Linked DNA regions of Saccharomyces cerevisiae S288C. The main gene of each other region encodes a partner of the protein of the gene in region 2 in a complex. Each region holds a gene or a part of one and is shown on either strand. Other genes may lie near its edges. A codon is read from its position in the direction of its gene.

Region 1 (5,034 bases), on a different chromosome or scaffold from region 2:
CCACAGAAAGTTCTTTATCTCTAATGCGTTTTGAGGTTCTTACACCCTTAGGTACACTCCTACGTGCTGTTCTTCTAGATGATTTGGCTGTGACTATCTGATCGTCAATATCTTCCGTATAATCATCATCGTCAATGTATTCTTCCCCACCAGCTGAGACGCTGTCGGATAACTCTGCCTCAATGTCACTTGCTTCACTGTCCATTGTAGTCTGCTAATCGCCAGTTATTTGCTAGTTAGGCGTTTTATCCTTGAAGAAAAGACACGTTAAAAATGAGAATCTTCGTTCTGCGTTATACTTTCCTCCTTTTCTTCTCTCTTTTTTGCTAATGGGATTCTATAAAACTGTTCCGCCTTAATCATTGTAAGAATTTTGAAAATTAAAATACGTAAAAGTTTACATAAATTATACATTGAACTGAAAAACAAAGTAGAAAACGTGAATCAGTGAAATAAAGGAGTAAAATAAGTTAAACAATGATGTTACTTAATTCAATTACTCATAACAGGTCCTTCTCAAAAAATCTTTTCCTCATTTCCATTCTACCAGTTCCATGCTTTTTAACCAGTTTCCTTATTTGTTCTTGATCATTGCTTTTTAGCGATTCGTCGTCATCATGTGTCCAAATACCAGGAACGTTGGGAGGAGGATTAACATTGTCCTTAAACATGTTCAAGAAATAGCGAGGAAAGACCATCAGATCCCCGGATAAACACGTCAATATGCTCGTACTGAAATTTTTACGTATACCAGTTTCATCGCAAAGATCCTGTACCAGTTTTTCAGCCTGTGATGGCTCATAATCTCCTGAAATAACTTCATGAAGTTTATCCATAAATTGTCTCGTACTGCCAAAATGAAAGAACAATGGCAGGAAAAGATCTGTTGTTGCAATTTTTGGTGGAAAGCTTATGGTATCAGGATCAATATTATCATATATATCTTCATTCGAAAAATCGCTTCTTATAGCTTCCGCAATCTCGTGTGGATACTCAAAGGGCAAACTATTTGAAATATTGGATAGATCATTCTTTAAACTGGAAATGAAATTCATGGTATCTTCGTCCAGTAATTCGTTTTCTGGTATAGCGTAAGAGTTGGAAGCAGCGGCAGCAGCAGCGGCAGCAGCATTAGCGGACGCTGCATTGGCAGTAGGCTGAACATTTCTTTGAGAACTATAATTTCTTGCCCTCTTGGCGGCAGAGTTATAATTGCCAGGAGTGGGAACGCCAGGCCTCTTGGGTCTATTGGTGAGGTTCTTCATCGGTTCCGGCTCTCTATTCTGAGCTTTTTCAGCTTCATAATAACTAATATAATCATCAATGCCGTAAGCGAGAAGAAACTTCCTAAACCTATCTCTCCAAGCATTCTCAGTATGTGCTGCATGCTCTTCGGCAAAATGCTTGAAAAATTCTCGTGCAATCGGTCCCCTACGGCTTTGGGTTCTGTAAGCTGCAAAGTTGGGTTCACTCCCTGGCACATGATTTGGATCCATTGTCATATTCCTCCTCGCTATAGCAGTGGGTGTATCCTCATCTGTGATAAGTGATCTTCCAGTATCAGGGTCGATTTGAAACAAATCACGATAAAACTGCTTCTTGACCGCGATTGCCAAAGTGTAATCTTCATCTGCTGAAAATTTCCTTTTAATTGATGGTGGCAAAACTTTAGTCTTTATCAGATTTCCATCGTCGTCTCTAACCAATTTACCAAACTTGTCAACCTCATAAACGTACTCTAGTCTTTTGGAAAGATAGACTCTAAATCGGTGCCTAATAGAATTACCCGTGTGGTTAGGCACATAATGGGATATTTCATCGTAAAGAGTATGTGTTGTACGCCTGGTTGGATTTTTTCTCACAACATCCAAAATAAACTCATCTTCCTCATCTGTAAAAGAAGCTTTATTGTGGGAGGGCAAAGCGCCTCTCGAAATCATGGACCTTTGTGCTTGAAAAGATGCATTCCCCTCATCTGCTGTTTGAGGGTTGTTGTCCTGTGTCAAAAGATCATTGTCTTCGTCGTTGACGTTGCTATTATTATTATTGGAGGTATCTTTTTGAGGTTGTTCGATCTGGACCAAGTCATTGTGCCCTCCGCTTGTGATTGATGCGGTGCTGCTTACATGTTGACGAAGGAGCTGAGCTTGCTCTTGTAATCTAGCTTGTTGTTCAGCGTCTACCATAACTTTTTCGCTGGTTGAGTCTTCCGTAGCGCCATTAGTATTCGTAGAGATTATTTCTGTTTTGGGCCTGATAGAATCCTTGTTATCGCTATTGCTATTGCTATTATCTACACCATTAGAATGCGATTCCTCCTGCAACCTACTATCGACAACTTCTCTAAAGTTATCGTATGGTACTAAATAATTTTCCATGTTCAGTAGCGAGTTGCTTTGACAACATGCCTTAATATAAGTCGGAGTTACCGTTGGTAAATTGGTATGATTATAGGGTGACACGATGAAAACATTCTCTTTTGATTCTCTTGGCTTGGAGTCTAGCACTTCACCACCGTTTGCTCTAATCAGACGCGCTAATTGATCAATATCATTTAAAGAGTCATGCGCATCCGCGTCGCGATTAAGATAGAATTTCATATTTGACAGAGGAGGACCACTTACTTGTTCCTTTTTCTCATCAGCAGCGGTGTCATCAGTAGTAGGTTCAGTAACAGATGCACCTGATGTCGAAGCAATGTTAGCGGTAGCAGCAGTATCAGCAATGGAAGGCGTGGTAGTTGTTACACCGACTTCAGTGGTATCATCATCATCTTTCTTTTCGACCTCCGTCTGATCCACTTTCTCACTAGTTTCAGCAGCAGTAGCACCAGTGTTTTCTTCGTTTTGATTAGCTTTTACCTCAGCGGCTGAATCCGATGGCGCTGTGACTGCAGCAGAACCACTGTCAACAACGACCATACTCGGATCCAATGCATCAACATATTCTGCTGGTGCAGTTTCAAAATCATCTGGACTAGACATATTGAGATAATCTGTACGCAAATAGTGTCTTATGTAGGGCGGTTGCGTATACAACGGTTTGTGTTTACTACCTTTTGGGCTATGGGTTTGTTTTGTTTAAAACGTGTATTGATGGTGTTTAGGTGCTGGATGTTGGGTGTTGAAGAAATGATTGCGGTTGTCTGTTTTCGGTTTTGTTTTCTTTTCTCGCTAAATTTTAAAACTTCAACAACGAAGAAGAGGCGGGTAGCGGCCATTGGGCAAGAATACTTGTAGCTCCAGCGAAAGTTTCATTGAAATTTAAGATTCAGTATTATGAGTTACATAATAATATTCATATCTTTTTCATATAGTACATTATATAAAATCTGTTGCGCTTTTAAGTAGTACTTTTTGTTTTAAGAGCATTGTACTTGAATTAATTCATAGTCATATTGCCCCTTCTTAATATCGTACTTCACTTTCATAGATGAAAGCAGATTGTTCTTTATACATGCTGTGTCCAAACCTTTGGTCTGTCTCCGTAGGTTTAGTCCCATGGATGCATCGTGCCCGTAAAATACTTTGGCGTTACTAAAGTGGTCTCCGTATTTGTCCCACAGTGTGTACCATCTCACATAATTCTTGTTTTCCTTTTCACGTGATGTTTTTGACCAGTTCTTCTTATCAACGTACTTCATGTTTGACAGAGAGCTCACGCCCGGAATTTGGTTGGGCTTCATGAAGTCTCCCGGAACCATCCCTGCATGTGCACCAAAGAGTATATCACCGGTAATATCCAGATCTAGTTCTATGGCCATAGAACAATGTTCCGCTAGCTGACTTAATTTGGAAAACCCAAGTTCGCGAGCTAACCGTCCATGTGCGTTGCTGATTTTAGAGATGTCTTGTGGTATGAAATTAGTCTCCGTACTGAAAGTTAAAGGTGTCATTAATTTGGGGCGTCTTACCCATTTCGAGAAGTCTGGGTTTAAATAGGCCATCATGACCAATATTTCATGATTGCCCAAAACGCACTTGACTTGATCCTTGTGATTTAGAATATACGACACGACCTTGTCTGAGTCCGGGCCCTTGTGAATAAAGTCACCCAGCAATATCATTGTTATATTTTCTCCTAGTCCTCCAATCTTGTCATCAATGAGTTCTATGAACTCATCATAGTTACCATGAACGTCACCAACAAAAACGTACTCCTTATTTAAATCTGTTACATGCTCAATTTTCTTCAAGGTGCTAATTGTAGGCAATAAGGAAACTGGTGGAGACAACCGAGGGTTATCAAACTTGAATATATATAGTGTATAAACGCAGCATGCCACAAATAATATCAATGCTGTACTAAGTGTAGCGGCTCGTCTTTTCCGCTTATCTTCCATTTTTGCGTATCTATGCTCCTCAAGCCTGGCTCATTTTACAAGCTGGAAGGTCGAGGAAAAGGAAGAACTAATTCAAGAATAATGTGCTCTTCTTATAGGATGCGTATATGTTCTAATATATCTCAGATGGGCCCGCGAGACTTTTCTAGCATGAAAAAAAAAGGTGGATCCTTGATTATCTAAAATTATAGTTTATATCGTTCATGCTGCACAAAAACGTGCCAGCAATGCAATGCGCCTCAAGCGTAAAAAAACAAGCGGCATTGGCCAACAGAGAAAAAAATATGAATTGTAGACGCGGCATTGAGAGAAGTATGGAAGACCCTTGACTAACCCTGATATGACTGTCTCAAGTCAGGATCTTCTTTGTCTCCTAAATGTTTGCCGTCCAGGAACTTTAAGTCAGTTTTATTTGGACATTTCTCGAGCACTTCTTTGGGAAAGTAGTCTTGTTGGACTTTTCCTTCAATATAATCGGGATTGTACTTGTAGCCTTTATGATAACCCAGCTCCTCCATCAATTTGGTTGGCGCATTTCTGATATGCATCGGTATCTCACTGCTTGCTAAACTGTACATGTTCTCGCTCATCATTGCCCTTAATTTCTTCCAAGCTCTATATAGTTCTACTGACTTTGGTGCCCTAGCCAAAGCAACACAACATTGCGCCAGTGCAAGGTCTGCCTCTGGCAA
Region 2 (7,779 bases):
GAAGACGGATATACAGAAACGTCATTATTATTAACAGCTTATATTATATTCCACTTTAATATTCCGTTACAAGACGCTCTTTTGAGGATCCATCCAAGACCATTTTTCCTTTTTCCATCAGACTTGCAAATTTTAGGCCATTTACAACCTGTCCTGCGGGAGTTTAGTCCGCAGAATGGAAGTAATCTAAAATTATATGCCAATGCATTGAAATTTAGGGATAAAAGCTTTCAATTACACATTTCTTCAGAGCTTTTTAGTAGCATATTTTTTATGAAGATTCCTCTTGAGTCTAATTTCGTTAATTTGAAGGGCCCACTGCCATCCCGGATTCTACGTCACTTGTATTTGGGATCCCTGGATCATGCACAAAATCCTGCCTTACTTAAGTCTCTAGGAATTACGCATATAGTTTCTGTCGGTGAAGTTGTTTCATGGACATTGAATAAGGATAAAATTGCTCATCCTGTAAGGCCACATCGTGCAATAACTATGACGAATACCAATGAAGTTGCAGGTAATACTACATGTAATAAAAGCAGAAATAGAGCTGATACTGTGGTCAGCGATAAGCAAGAAAATGGCAGCAACGTAGTAATAAGTGAAAATTCTGGATTTCAAATTTGCCAGATCGAAAATCTAGATGACAACGGCAAAGATCCGCTTTTCCACCAAATAGACAAAGTTTTGGATTTTATTAGCAATTCCGAAGCAACAGGAGGGAAAGTTCTGGTGCATTGTATGGTCGGAGTCTCCAGATCTGCAACAGTTTGTATAGCTGAATGTATGAGATATCTCCAGTGTGACCTGGCAAGTGCGTATTTGTTTGTGAGGGTACGGAGGCTTAATGTTATCATTCAACCAAACTTGTTCTTCGTATATGAGCTCTTCAAATGGTGGAAAAAGCATTATAATCGCGAAAAAGACAAAACTATGGATTGGCACATCATCTGTAGGGGTATCGCTGAGGTTAATATGAAGTACACATGAACTTTGTTATATAAGTATACGTACAACTGTATAATACGTAGGAAAATTACCAATTATAAGAAAAGTATGCAAAATTAACGCTATCAGCCAAGTATAACGAACTGCTGTAATCCTTTACAAATCGTTAAAAAAGGGCCGCAGCAAATATTTATATAGTAAGGACAGCTATCTTAGATTTACATCGTGAATATACTCTACTTTTGATAAGAAACAAGAAGTCAACAGAAGGCAGGTGATTAGTGCCATTTTGATTTTCAGTTCTTTGTGTTTTTCCTCTTATGTCATATTTACTACAATAATAGAAGTTACTATAATTGACCGACGCGTCGATTTTTTATTTATTGGCGACTCATCGTTAGCAAGAAGATCGAAAGTAATAACGCAGTCTTAGAGCGATTTGAGGCAATTCGTCGGCATCAGTACCTAAGGAGATAAAAGTGAATATATATATATATATTCGTCAACGTTATTACAGGATTGCCATTGCAAAATCGTTTTTGTGGTCAATTTGCAATGTCGAAAGATTTTTCAGATAAAAAGAAACATACGATAGATCGAATTGATCAGCATATCCTCCGTAGGTCTCAACACGATAATTATTCCAATGGAAGCTCTCCGTGGATGAAAACTAACTTGCCACCTCCATCTCCACAAGCTCATATGCATATACAAAGCGATCTATCGCCAACGCCAAAGAGGCGAAAGCTAGCGTCTTCAAGTGATTGCGAGAATAAACAATTTGATTTATCAGCTATTAACAAGAATTTATATCCAGAAGATACAGGAAGCAGGCTAATGCAAAGTCTTCCAGAGTTGTCTGCCTCTAATAGTGATAATGTATCACCGGTTACAAAAAGTGTAGCTTTTTCTGATAGGATAGAATCATCACCGATTTACCGCATACCAGGTTCCTCACCTAAACCCTCTCCATCAAGCAAACCAGGAAAATCAATTTTGAGGAATAGGTTGCCTTCAGTGAGGACTGTAAGCGACTTGAGTTACAATAAACTCCAATATACCCAACACAAATTACACAACGGTAATATTTTCACATCACCTTATAAGGAAACAAGGGTAAATCCTCGCGCCTTAGAGTATTGGGTGAGTGGTGAGATCCATGGTTTAGTTGATAATGAAAGTGTTTCGGAGTTTAAAGAAATTATTGAGGGCGGATTGGGCATCTTGCGACAAGAATCTGAAGATTACGTCGCGAGGAGGTTTGAGGTATACGCAACCTTTAATAATATTATACCCATTCTAACCACTAAAAATGTTAACGAGGTTGATCAGAAATTCAATATTCTAATTGTGAATATAGAAAGTATCATTGAAATATGCATACCGCATCTACAAATAGCACAGGACACATTATTAAGTAGTAGTGAAAAAAAAAATCCATTTGTAATCAGACTATATGTTCAAATAGTTCGATTCTTCAGTGCTATTATGTCTAATTTCAAAATCGTTAAGTGGCTAACGAAAAGGCCAGATTTGGTTAATAAGTTAAAAGTTATTTACAGGTGGACCACCGGTGCGCTAAGAAATGAAAATTCAAACAAGATAATCATAACAGCACAAGTCTCTTTCTTGAGAGACGAAAAATTTGGTACTTTTTTCTTGAGCAACGAAGAAATTAAACCTATCATTAGCACTTTCACTGAAATAATGGAAATCAATAGTCACAACCTAATATATGAAAAATTGCTACTTATAAGGGGATTTTTGAGCAAGTATCCAAAATTAATGATTGAGACGGTAACTTCTTGGTTACCAGGTGAGGTACTACCTAGGATTATTATCGGAGATGAAATTTACTCCATGAAAATTCTCATAACTTCAATAGTTGTTTTACTGGAACTACTAAAAAAATGCTTAGATTTTGTTGATGAACATGAAAGGATTTACCAGTGTATCATGCTATCTCCAGTATGCGAAACAATCCCGGAAAAATTTTTATCTAAACTACCGTTAAATTCATATGACAGCGCTAATTTAGATAAAGTGACAATTGGTCATCTTCTTACACAGCAGATAAAAAACTATATTGTGGTCAAAAATGACAATAAAATAGCAATGGATTTGTGGCTTTCAATGACCGGATTACTATACGATAGCGGAAAGAGAGTTTATGATTTGACATCAGAATCTAACAAAGTTTGGTTTGATTTAAATAACCTGTGCTTTATCAATAATCACCCCAAGACTCGCTTAATGTCCATCAAAGTTTGGAGAATTATTACCTACTGCATATGCACGAAAATATCACAGAAAAATCAGGAAGGAAACAAAAGTTTACTGTCACTTTTACGAACCCCTTTTCAAATGACGCTTCCTTATGTGAATGATCCAAGCGCTAGAGAAGGGATCATCTACCACCTTTTAGGTGTTGTTTACACTGCATTTACAAGTAATAAGAATTTGTCAACAGATATGTTTGAACTATTTTGGGACCACCTAATAACCCCGATTTATGAAGATTATGTTTTCAAATATGATTCGATTCACTTGCAAAATGTACTCTTCACAGTTTTGCATTTGTTAATTGGGGGAAAGAATGCAGATGTTGCATTGGAAAGAAAATATAAAAAGCATATTCACCCAATGAGTGTTATAGCCTCAGAAGGTGTAAAGTTAAAAGACATTTCAAGCCTGCCCCCGCAGATCATCAAGCGTGAATACGATAAAATCATGAAAGTTGTGTTCCAGGCTGTTGAAGTAGCCATTTCTAACGTTAATTTGGCTCATGATCTGATCCTTACATCTTTGAAGCATCTTCCAGAGGATAGAAAGGACCAAACTCATTTAGAATCCTTTAGCAGTCTTATATTAAAAGTCACGCAAAACAACAAAGATACACCCATTTTTCGTGACTTTTTTGGTGCTGTTACTTCATCGTTTGTTTATACATTTTTGGACCTGTTTTTAAGAAAGAATGATTCATCATTAGTAAATTTCAATATCCAAATTTCCAAAGTTGGTATTTCGCAAGGAAACATGACCCTTGATCTTTTAAAAGATGTTATCAGGAAAGCTCGAAACGAAACATCTGAATTTCTGATAATAGAAAAGTTTCTAGAATTGGATGATAAGAAAACAGAAGTATATGCCCAAAATTGGGTTGGATCAACGTTATTACCACCAAATATATCTTTCAGAGAATTTCAGAGTTTGGCGAATATTGTGAACAAAGTTCCGAATGAAAATTCCATTGAAAATTTCTTGGACCTATGTTTGAAGCTCAGCTTTCCAGTTAATTTGTTTACACTACTTCATGTGTCTATGTGGTCGAACAATAATTTTATTTATTTCATTCAAAGCTATGTTTCAAAAAATGAAAACAAATTAAACGTGGATCTGATCACGCTGTTAAAAACTTCTTTACCAGGGAATCCTGAACTGTTTTCCGGTCTGCTCCCATTTTTAAGGCGTAACAAATTTATGGATATTTTGGAGTACTGTATTCATTCCAATCCAAATTTACTAAATTCCATCCCTGATCTAAATTCAGATCTCCTATTGAAGCTGTTACCACGTAGCAGAGCTTCATATTTTGCAGCAAACATAAAACTATTCAAGTGCTCCGAACAGCTTACATTAGTTCGTTGGCTGTTGAAGGGTCAACAACTTGAACAGCTAAATCAAAATTTTTCAGAAATCGAGAACGTTTTACAAAATGCGTCTGATAGCGAGTTAGAAAAATCAGAAATAATCAGAGAACTCCTTCATCTGGCGATGGCAAATCCCATTGAACCATTATTCAGTGGCCTATTGAATTTTTGCATAAAGAATAATATGGCGGATCATTTGGATGAATTTTGCGGAAATATGACCAGCGAAGTTCTTTTCAAAATAAGTCCAGAGCTACTGTTAAAATTACTGACGTATAAGGAGAAGCCTAATGGGAAGTTACTGGCAGCAGTTATTGAAAAAATTGAAAATGGAGATGATGATTATATATTGGAGTTGCTTGAAAAGATTATTATACAAAAAGAGATCCAAATTTTGGAAAAATTAAAGGAGCCACTTTTAGTTTTCTTCTTAAATCCAGTTAGCTCTAATATGCAAAAACACAAAAAGAGTACAAATATGCTCCGTGAATTAGTCTTATTATATCTCACTAAACCGCTTTCTAGAAGTGCCGCCAAAAAATTTTTTTCCATGTTAATTAGTATATTACCGCCAAACCCTAACTATCAAACTATTGATATGGTTAATCTGTTGATTGACCTCATCAAATCACATAATCGTAAGTTTAAAGATAAGAGAACCTATAATGCAACATTAAAGACAATAGGAAAGTGGATACAGGAATCGGGCGTGGTTCATCAAGGGGACTCAAGTAAGGAAATTGAAGCTATACCTGACACTAAGTCGATGTATATTCCATGCGAAGGGAGTGAAAATAAACTTTCAAACTTACAGAGAAAAGTGGATTCTCAAGATATCCAGGTTCCGGCTACGCAGGGAATGAAAGAGCCTCCCTCCTCAATTCAAATATCTTCCCAGATTAGTGCGAAAGATTCAGATTCAATATCGCTTAAAAATACTGCAATAATGAATTCTTCACAGCAAGAATCACATGCTAACCGAAGCAGATCAATTGATGATGAAACACTAGAGGAAGTGGATAATGAAAGCATTAGAGAAATAGATCAGCAGATGAAGAGTACGCAGTTAGATAAAAACGTGGCCAATCATAGCAACATTTGTTCTACTAAAAGCGATGAGGTGGATGTTACTGAGCTGCATGAAAGTATTGATACACAATCCTCGGAAGTGAACGCATACCAACCGATAGAAGTTCTCACTAGCGAACTGAAGGCGGTAACAAATAGATCTATCAAAACGAATCCTGATCATAACGTTGTTAACAGTGATAATCCTCTAAAACGACCTTCCAAAGAGACGCCTACCTCTGAAAATAAAAGATCGAAAGGTCATGAAACGATGGTGGACGTTTTAGTTTCTGAGGAACAAGCGGTGTCGCCTAGCAGTGACGTTATATGTACTAACATCAAGAGTATAGCCAACGAAGAATCTTCGTTAGCTTTAAGGAATAGCATAAAAGTGGAAACAAACTGTAATGAAAATTCCTTGAATGTCACTTTAGATCTTGACCAGCAAACCATAACAAAGGAAGATGGAAAAGGGCAAGTTGAACATGTTCAAAGACAGGAGAACCAGGAAAGTATGAATAAAATCAACAGTAAAAGTTTTACGCAAGACAATATTGCACAGTACAAGAGCGTGAAGAAAGCCCGTCCTAATAATGAGGGTGAAAACAACGATTATGCTTGTAATGTTGAACAAGCCTCTCCAGTAAGGAATGAGGTGCCAGGAGACGGCATTCAGATCCCGAGTGGGACTATACTTCTCAATAGTTCAAAGCAGACAGAAAAATCAAAAGTTGATGACTTGCGTAGTGATGAAGATGAACATGGAACGGTTGCGCAAGAGAAACATCAAGTGGGTGCAATAAACAGTAGAAACAAAAATAATGACAGGATGGACAGCACACCCATTCAAGGCACTGAAGAAGAATCTAGGGAAGTTGTTATGACCGAAGAAGGTATCAATGTACGCTTAGAAGATAGTGGAACATGCGAACTTAATAAAAATTTGAAGGGACCGCTTAAAGGAGATAAGGATGCCAATATTAATGACGATTTTGTACCTGTTGAAGAAAATGTCAGAGATGAGGGCTTTTTAAAATCAATGGAACATGCGGTATCTAAAGAGACAGGTCTAGAAGAACAACCCGAAGTTGCTGATATTTCAGTGTTACCAGAAATTCGTATACCCATTTTCAATTCTTTGAAAATGCAAGGGTCAAAGAGCCAAATAAAAGAGAAATTGAAAAAGAGATTGCAAAGGAATGAGTTAATGCCACCAGATTCACCTCCTCGAATGACAGAAAATACAAATATCAACGCGCAGAATGGCTTAGACACCGTACCAAAAACAATTGGTGGAAAAGAAAAACACCATGAAATTCAATTAGGCCAAGCCCACACAGAAGCAGATGGCGAACCTTTGTTGGGGGGAGATGGTAACGAAGATGCTACATCTAGGGAAGCCACACCTTCATTAAAAGTGCACTTTTTTTCAAAAAAGTCGAGAAGGTTAGTGGCCAGATTGAGAGGGTTCACACCGGGCGACTTGAACGGAATATCTGTGGAAGAAAGAAGAAACTTGAGAATTGAATTATTAGATTTTATGATGAGGCTCGAATATTACTCAAACAGGGATAATGATATGAATTGATTGTTAGTATGTAGAATAGATCAAAATGGCAATAAATTAATTACAATAATAAAATCTCTCGAAACAATATATAGTTACGATGACACACTAGAAATCGAGAGAGATATATAATAAGTAGAAAGAATTTTTTTTTTTTTTTGATCAGTGCATCTTAACCCTTCTTTTGTCTCCATTTTTTTCAGTTGGGAATTAGGATAATATCCCTACAGATAGTTGAAATTTTCTTGAACAATCTTCTCCATTCTAAAGGATCACCAGTTTTTCTTTCAAATCCGACACTTTTCAACTCTTCTTCAATCTTTATGATGGAAATGCTACCGCATAATTGATAACCCCCATTACTTTTGGTTTTAATATTTATAATAAGTGGGAAAACGTTATCATAACCCAATAATTCGCACAATCTTTCAAAATTCGCAAAAAGGTCGGGTTTTACTCTAATTTGTGATAAATTCAAGGCTTTCTCCAAAATCGGTAACAAAACATCCATAGGTTGCAACGTGTAGAACTTGGTAAGTTTATTCG

What was found.
Region 1: the proteins of RIF1 (region 2) and RAP1 are in contact, whole or in part, in a crystal structure (PDB 4BJT), measured with the Saccharomyces cerevisiae proteins. Residues at the interface, in NP_009834.4 of Saccharomyces cerevisiae: Ile1760 (codon at 6,781), Arg1761 (codon at 6,784), Ile1762 (codon at 6,787), Pro1763 (codon at 6,790), Ile1764 (codon at 6,793), Phe1765 (codon at 6,796), Asn1766 (codon at 6,799); in NP_014183.1 of Saccharomyces cerevisiae: Ile724 (codon at 815), Tyr728 (codon at 803), Glu729 (codon at 800), Pro730 (codon at 797), Gln732 (codon at 791), Ala733 (codon at 788), Glu734 (codon at 785), Leu736 (codon at 779), Val737 (codon at 776), Thr752 (codon at 731), Leu755 (codon at 722), Thr756 (codon at 719), Ser759 (codon at 710), Gly760 (codon at 707), Asp761 (codon at 704), Leu762 (codon at 701), Met763 (codon at 698), Met817 (codon at 536), Phe821 (codon at 524), Asp825 (codon at 512), Leu826 (codon at 509).

Annotation. Positions count from the first base shown.
Region 1 is NC_001146.8:239,639-244,672, reverse strand, and holds RAP1 (DNA-binding transcription factor RAP1), read right to left. Parts: upstream 2,985-5,034; coding exon 501-2,984; downstream 1-500. Other genes in the region: IES2 (Ies2p), read right to left, coding at 1-205; PPN2 (putative serine/threonine-protein phosphatase), read right to left, coding at 3,362-4,342; ssDNA-dependent ATPase MGS1, read right to left, coding at 4,672-5,034. UniProt on the Saccharomyces cerevisiae protein: Essential regulatory protein in yeast whose DNA-binding sites are found at three types of chromosomal elements: promoters, silencers, and telomeres.
Region 2 is NC_001134.8:750,831-758,609, reverse strand, and holds RIF1 (DNA-binding protein RIF1), read left to right. Parts: upstream 1-1,503; coding exon 1,504-7,254; downstream 7,255-7,779. Other genes in the region: tyrosine/serine/threonine protein phosphatase PPS1, read left to right, coding at 1-990; serine/threonine protein kinase CHK1, read right to left, coding at 7,433-7,779. UniProt on the Saccharomyces cerevisiae protein: Negatively regulates telomere length by preventing telomere elongation or promoting degradation of the telomere ends. Recruited to telomeres by interaction with the C-terminus of RAP1, which binds directly to telomeric repeat DNA.